2 linked regions of the Caenorhabditis elegans genome follow. The protein of the gene in region 2 interacts with the protein of the main gene of each other region in a pairwise test. Each region holds a gene or a part of one and is shown on either strand. Other genes may lie near its edges.

Region 1 (3,756 bases), on a different chromosome or scaffold from region 2:
ACTCCAATTTTCCAAACTCGCTACCTCTTTTCTCATTTTTCACCAGGCATCCCCCGGTGGTTCAATTTCCTTTCCTTTCATTTCTTTTTTGTCTTATGCTTCAATGTATTCATTACTTTTCCCTCTTTTTCTCGTCATTTGATTAATGAACTTCCTACTGTAACTCATTCTATCTCGTTTCTGTTTGCACTAGATTGGAAGACCAAAAAAAATCAAAATGAGGAATTGTCGAACATCAATTTGTAAAAGAGAGAAGATCCCTACACTTCTTCAACCTATTTTTTCTTGATTCGTGTACCTACAAATGAGTAATTGGATGCCATTCATTCCACACTTCTTGATGCTTCCTGACACTCATAAATCACTGTAAAAGAGACAGGAAATAGACTTGAGTCAATTGCATAATCACTTACTAATCATTTACTCACTTTTTTTTTTTATTTATTACCACAGTGTTATGCAATTCTTATCTCCTTATCTATACTGTGAGAGGTGTGAGGATATTGGATCATTTATAGATTGAGAAAACTGATAATGAAATAAAAAATGTGATGTGTTTGGGTTATTTCCTTTTATAGTACATTATCATGTGTTGTGGCTCTGAGAATTTGTAATTCTCTATGTACTGTTAATTTGAAAATTTTATTTTAATCAAAAAATTAAAAAAGACTTTCAAAGTTAACAAAAGTAACACATTTTAAGTTTTATAAATAGTTTAAATATCTCTGTTTGCATGTTTACAGTAGGGAACTTCTAGAACTTTATTCTTTCATTTTGTAAGAGGCGTTGGAATCAATTCAGTTGCAGTTGGCATTTCTGAAACCTCAAGTTTCGGGAACTTTTACTTTTAAGAACAAGGTGAGGCACTGCTGGAAATCTCGAAGCAATTTCAGATGCCTTGCAAAATCTTGAAAACATATTAAGCGTATGCTTCAGTTGTAGACTTTTATATTTAGGTATCTTGACAATTCCAAAAAATAGTGTTTGGTGTCGACCAAGTATTGATAACATTTAATTTAGCTAGAAATAGCTAGAAGCTTAAATTTTTAGAAAATCTGATCAATGACCTAGAAAAACTTCAACGTTTTTCAAAATTCCCATAACGCCGTTTTAAAATTTCACAGAAATTCGTCTTTTGGTCATTTGAACTTTTTGTGCATACCAGGCATTTGGCTCAAAAAGCGGACTATCAGATGTTGGCAAAAGTTGGTAAGAGCTTTGACAATACTTGTCTTAGACTATGTTGTCGAAACCTTGCTCAATTTCTGCTCAAGTTTTAGCCCAAAGCCGAGATACTCTCCCTTTTTGCCATTTTTCCAATTTTCATGTAACAATTCCATATCTATAAAATCAGAGAGTTCATAAAATTGAGCACATTTCGACTGACTCTTGACAACTTGTCCAATGGGAAAAAGTTGGTCAAGATTTTGTTCCTAAAAGCGGCAACTTAAAAGCGAAAATTCATTCTGCTCAACTCTTCTACTCTTGGAGCCCAAAAGCTTACGGTACCTGTCGTTCTCACCCCATGTCCATCCAGCGCTGTCAGTGATGAATTGAAAAGGCGAGAGCAAGAGATGTGCTCTCGGCTCCACGAACCTCTTTGATCTATGCCGACAGTGGGGGAGATTGGAGAAGAAGCATGCTCCACCCTTCACGTGTATCAGTACGTCTGCGTCTTCTTGTGCGTGCCGCCCGGATTAGAAGACATGAAGTGGGAGGGCGATAGAGGAAATTCCGATGGCAATACCAACAATAGAATTTTGGCAACATTTTTTTACGACCTTCTAGAATTAAGGTAAATCTCTCTTTTTTTAAATCCACTCCTGGCACAAAGCTTCTCAAAGTTCTAAATGAAACTGGAACTTAACTTTAAATAAGTTGAACCTAGAGGTCACCTGAAAAAGTTATAGGAAAATTCTCTACTATTTAAAACGTAGTCTTTAAATTTTGCAAGTTATGTACTTCAAATATCAATTTTCCACCTTTGTGGCAGAAAACGTTTAAAATCTAGTTTATTTCGGAACCCTCTTATATTTTCGCAAAGTTATCGACTAAATTTCAGTATTTGAAACATTTTTAGATACTCGGCTTTGGCTTCTGCTGTTTTTTTTTTGTTGTAGGAATTTATTCAAATTACCTGCGTTCCGAAAAAACATTTTATGTTGCATTATTGGAGAATATACCATTGAAAAATTGAAAACATATCTGGAAGAAATGAGCCCAGATTAGATGTTGCACTTTATGAGGCGTTGCGAAGGCGCCTTTTTACCGTGTTCCCGTTATTCTGCCGATCATTTAAATAAATTGAATCTCACCCTCGTTTAATTTGTGAATCATAGAAGAAAACAAAATGTAATCTTACTTTAAAAAAGCTATTATCACAACTTTAAATTATCCAACTTAAAAGCTTCATTGTCAGGTGTGTGCGACAAATCTACCGAAATTGCTGAGTTCGTCAAATTTCGAGGATTGCCCACAGCCTCAATATTTCTGAAATTTCATTTTGTAATCAGTAGTCACATAAATATTCAAGACATGGAGAATGTGTGGAATAGTGTTAGGTAACATTTCAGAGCTTAGGCCTACAGAGAAAACACATAAAGACTTCTAGTCCATACTTCTTCTTGACCTCATAGATTGCTTACTAGTTTATATAAAGCTATTTAGAGCAATTATCCAATCTTATAAGGTAAAACCCGCGGGTCTTAAACCATGACCACCCACTTGAGCACACCCACAAAAACAATTCGTCTCTCGCAGATTGCTCCTCAATTTATCACCATCATCTTTTCTCTCTCCATTTCCAACTCTTTACTTTTCTTCTCTTTTTGTTCTGTTTCCGTTCTTAAGCTTTTGTTGTTTTCCTAGTTTTAATGATTTCCTAAGGATTAGGTACAAGTAGTTGATAGGTTGATCTAATTCCTTTTGATGAATGCAGTAATTAAAAAAAACAAGGTTCTTAAATTAAAATTTAAAATCTATCAAACGGTAATTATTGCTAATTCGTGTTCTGAAATTTATTGGTTTCAATTATATGTGCCCAGGAATTTTAATAAATTTTAAAGCTCTGATCACCTGTAAAAGAAATTGATGGTTGCTGAAAGTTCTTCAAAATTTTAAGAACTGAATCATCGTATTTAACTTTTGTGTTGAAAATTTGGGCTCTTGGGAGATATTGATCCGGTCATTGATTGCGATTGTACACGTATCTCTGAATTCTAGACTAGCAGCACAAATTGTTAGTTTTCTTGCTCTCACTACAATTGTTCAAATTTAAATACCTATTCTACTAGTTATTCGGTTTTTGAAGATATGTAGACTTTAGGAATATCTGAATGATCTACTTCAATGAAAAAAATTTGATCTCTTTTTTTAACTACTGCATTCATCTCTATCGTCCTCTTATTCTATTCCCTCATCCCTTCCGCTTTCTGAGACTCCACCCTTCGTCCAATAGGAGAAATGGGCGGGATCGGGGAAGGATGGCGCCCGGTATTCTGTCTCTTTTGCAATGGAAGAAAAGAGGAGAAAGAGGGAGACGTCACATTTTTAACAAATGTTCAACCGCCCCGACGCGCCTCTCGTCCTCATTTATTATATCACCTCGTTTCCCCTCCCTCCCCTCATCTTTTCATCTCTTTTCAATCAATTCTTATCAATCACTTTCACTCGTTTTCACTCCAGATGACCACATCAACATCACCGTCATCCACAGATGCACCGAGAGCTACAGCTCCTGAATCAAGCTCTTCGTCT
Region 2 (3,756 bases):
TGAAAAAATTGATGAAAAAACGACTACCATCTCCCTTAATTGTTCAATTTTTGAACGAGAGGCAATTTGTCTGAAAATCTGGAAAAAAAAAGTATTTGCATCAATTGCCCTTTTGTTGCCATTCGTGAAACTTGCACACTCAGCAGCAAGTGATTCCTCCAGCCCACACGTTTTCGGCGCAAAAGTGTAAGTGATAAGAGCTTCAACTGGTACCTCCTGGAACCGAGGAGCTGACAGTGCTGCTCTTTTTGGCAGAAACTAGCGAATGAGCACAAATGCACTTTTACTTTATCTAGGTTACTATAACCGATGCTTCTTCTATTACCTTTACTTCCTCCATTTTACTCCTAAAAACTGCTTGTCATGTGTTTGAACTGTGCGGGGCCGCCTTGAGGTCCTTTCCGACCATTCTGTACCAGGTTGTTCCTATTTGGATTTCCTCGAAGAAGTTGAGGGCGCGAGAAAAAACCGAATGGCTGCAGGAGACGCCGCGGCGATGGTGGTGGTTACGCAAACTGTGCTTGAGCAAACATGTGCCTGAATTGAAAAAGAGAAGAAGACGATGACGATTAGGAACAAGAAGGCATTGAAGACGTTGAAGAAGGTCATCTTTGAAATTATGTTCAAATATGTTTTGGTTCTAGTTACCCTAGATTTCAAAAATACTTGAAGTACTCTAGAAACCCGAGTTGATATTTGTAAGGTTTATGTTAAACTCTACGTCATATTTTGAGTAACTGCCTACCGTAGTTTTTACACTTATTTGAAAAGAAAAAAGCACCTAGCTACTTTTGTAAGTTCATATTCATTTTAGGGCTAACTTACCTGTGCCTGGTAAAAGCCCACAAGACGTCTAGAATTACTATTGCAGTCTTTTCAAATACGTTCTTTTCTGGAATGGTTCTTGTTGCCCTGGATTTCAAAAATTCTCTAGAAATCCGAGTTGGCAATTTCATGCTCGGAAAGTGCACTTTTTTTCGAAAGATGATCGCTCTCAATAATTAACCTTCATAATACACATCATACTCTTCTTTTTTGCATTCACTTACAGTAAGCACTAGATATCTCGGAATACTCTAGTTGGGTTTGAAAATCTCCACGGTCCCTTTTCTATTTTTCTAGCCGTCCCCTATATCCACCTACAGTAGCCTTTGCGCCTGTACCTCTGCAGCACTATGCCTAACTGGGAGCAGGTGAGCCAATACCAAATAACTTTCCCAAAACTCTTTCTCCTCCCATCAACGGTCATCCGATCTCAATATGGCCACGTCATGCTCCAACTTCACGTACGCTTTGGCTCAAAACGAGTTCACTGACCGAACTGTTTGTCCAACCAAAACCTTGTGGCCGAGCGCAAGAAAGAGTTGTGTGTTGCTGATATTTTGTAAAAAGTAAACGTATCCTCTTCCTCCTACTGCTGTTGCTGTGAAAGTCAGTCAGCCCCGGAAGTGAACAGTTCGCTGATGCGACGACCTCCCACCCTTCGGCCTCCTCCTCTTTTTCCCCCAACAAAACTTGTGTCAACATACTGTGGTAGGAGCGAAAAGGTACCGCGCGCCCCATCCGCATTTTGCCATATCCATTCCTTCCCGAATCGGCGCTTGCTTCCTGGTGACCCTTCCCTTATCTTGGAGCAACTTTCACTTTTTCCACTTCTTATCTCCAATTCTCTCGTCTTTCTAGACAAAATAGATATCAGAATGTTCCTCCAGTTCCAAGTACATTGATACTTTTTCTTTCTCCAAATTTTCCCACACCTTCTTTTCATTACTTTTTCTCATTCGTGGTCTACTCTTTCTTATTTTTGATCTCGGTTCAATATTAGAATCTGCAAACTTAACAACTGAAAAAATAACATTTCTAAACTTACTATAACATTTCCACTTTTTAATTGCATTCTTTAAATTTCGTAAATTTAAGATGAATTGTGAATCGTTGCTCACTGCCCTTGACGTATCCACTCTACTCTCAACTCTTTCCTCACCTGAAAAAGAACATCGTCGTAAAAGACGACGTGGTGAAGTAGCCAATCCATCAAACACTCTTGATGCTCTTGTTGCTCGCAAAGCCGACGATCAACCATTTGAAAAGAGATATCTAAGTGAACAAGAAGCAATTGAAGGACCAGATGATGAGATTGAAATGAAAAAAATGGAATTGGATCCTGATGTATCTACACGCACCTGCTCTACCTGTGGTTACCAAGGAAAATGGGTGTCTGAGATGATTCGTCATAAGAGAGTTCATACCAGTGAAAGACCATTCAAGTGTCGTTATTGCTCCAGAACCAGCAAGTGGAAGGCTGACCTTATTCGACATGTTGCAAGTGAGTTCATATTACTTTTCTATTACTTTAGGTATTTGAATTCGCTTTAAACCTTTTGTAATTCTGTCAGATTTGAAGTTTGGCAGCTTAGAACAATTTTTGAAATGTAATCAATTAGCTTCTGCTATACCTGAAAATGTATTCTCCAACCTCAATAATTTCAGAAACTCATGGAATCCGTGTTGTCTCCAAATACAGCCGTTCGAAAGTCTTCGATGCCACCAACAGTTCAATGGATTCTTCGTGTTCTTCAGACTCTGATCGATGCATAATTTCTGAAAAGAGAACAGTGTTCTATCGTTGCCAATTGTGCTCATTTGAAGATGAAAGAGTATCTGTATTGAACAGTCATGTAAGCCATCTTCACAACACCTCCCCATGTGTTTGTCGATGTGGCGCTAAATTTGAAGATGTCCAAGGAGCACTTGCTCATTCCAATGGTCCATGCTCCCATGTTGATATGATTTACAACGTTATGCCAACTTATGAGAAAGGTAAACCATAATTTTAAATAGTTTAATTTCATGATTTAAATTCCTTTTTTCAGCATCTCCATTATCCCCGTGCAGAAGCGAATCCTCATCAGACAGCGGAATTCAGACAGATCCTGAAGAAGAAGCATCGATTATTACATCATCCCTACCAACTCCTCAACTTGGATCATCACCTCTTCTGTTGTCACCAACACTTCCAGTCACTCCATCTTTCCTTCCAGACATTCAATCAGCTCTGCTGAGCCTTCAGCCAAATCCATTAATGTCATTATACTTGGCATCTCTCCTACAATCTTCCTTGTTGAATAGTCCAACTATTCCAACATCTTTTCCACAAATCATCCCAACTACGATACTTACACCTTCTCAACAAGATGAGATGGTTGACGTTGAGATGTAATTCTTAAGATCTTGAATCCATAATCTCAAAATTTATAATTAAAACAATTTATCACTTCTTTACTTGAATATCTCAGGTTCATATACTCGAACCAATATATTTTCTGTTCTACTTAGCCAATCACGCACACAAACCCCAAAAAAACCCCAAATCTTAGGTATCTACTCACATACGAATCTCGTCTCAACTCTCAGCTTCCTGGTGAATTCATATTTTCTTTGCTAATTTTATTTTCCTTATCTGTTTCTACTATACGAGTCATGTTTCTATCACACATCCCTCCATATTTCTCTATCACATTTTTCACCGATTTCTCTTTTTTTCGGGATTGTTCTTATTTATATCGTTACGAATATTTGGAAATATACGCTTGTTTAAAAAAGTATTATCACCACTGCATAAACTCATATTTTAAGCGATATTATTGATTTGTATTTGCTCGGCATTTAGTGCCTCCTTTCTCCCACCTTTTGAGGTCTTCTCACCTTCCGCCCACCTTTTTGCCACCTGCTCCCCACCTTTTGTAAAAATATCAC

Evidence for each region. Proteins that work in one complex are often made in the same cells at the same time.
Region 1: the proteins of ztf-2 (region 2) and lin-39 interact in a two-hybrid assay, tested with the Caenorhabditis elegans proteins (one large-scale study listed by BioGRID).

What each region holds. Positions count from the first base shown.
Region 1 is NC_003281.10:7,534,629-7,538,384, reverse strand, and holds the start of lin-39 (Homeobox protein lin-39), read left to right. Parts: upstream 1-1,752; 5' UTR 1,753-1,795; intron 1,796-3,684; coding exon 3,685-3,756. UniProt on the Caenorhabditis elegans protein: Transcription factor.
Region 2 is NC_003279.8:7,289,352-7,293,107, forward strand, and holds ztf-2 (Zinc finger protein ztf-2), read left to right. Parts: upstream 1-1,920; coding exon 1,921-2,326; intron 2,327-2,490; coding exon 2,491-2,820; intron 2,821-2,873; coding exon 2,874-3,220; 3' UTR 3,221-3,601; downstream 3,602-3,756. UniProt on the Caenorhabditis elegans protein: Transcription factor. Represses gene expression, probably via binding to DNA consensus sequence 5'-[AT][CT]TTCC[AC][AG]-3' in promoter regions. May play a role in pharynx morphogenesis.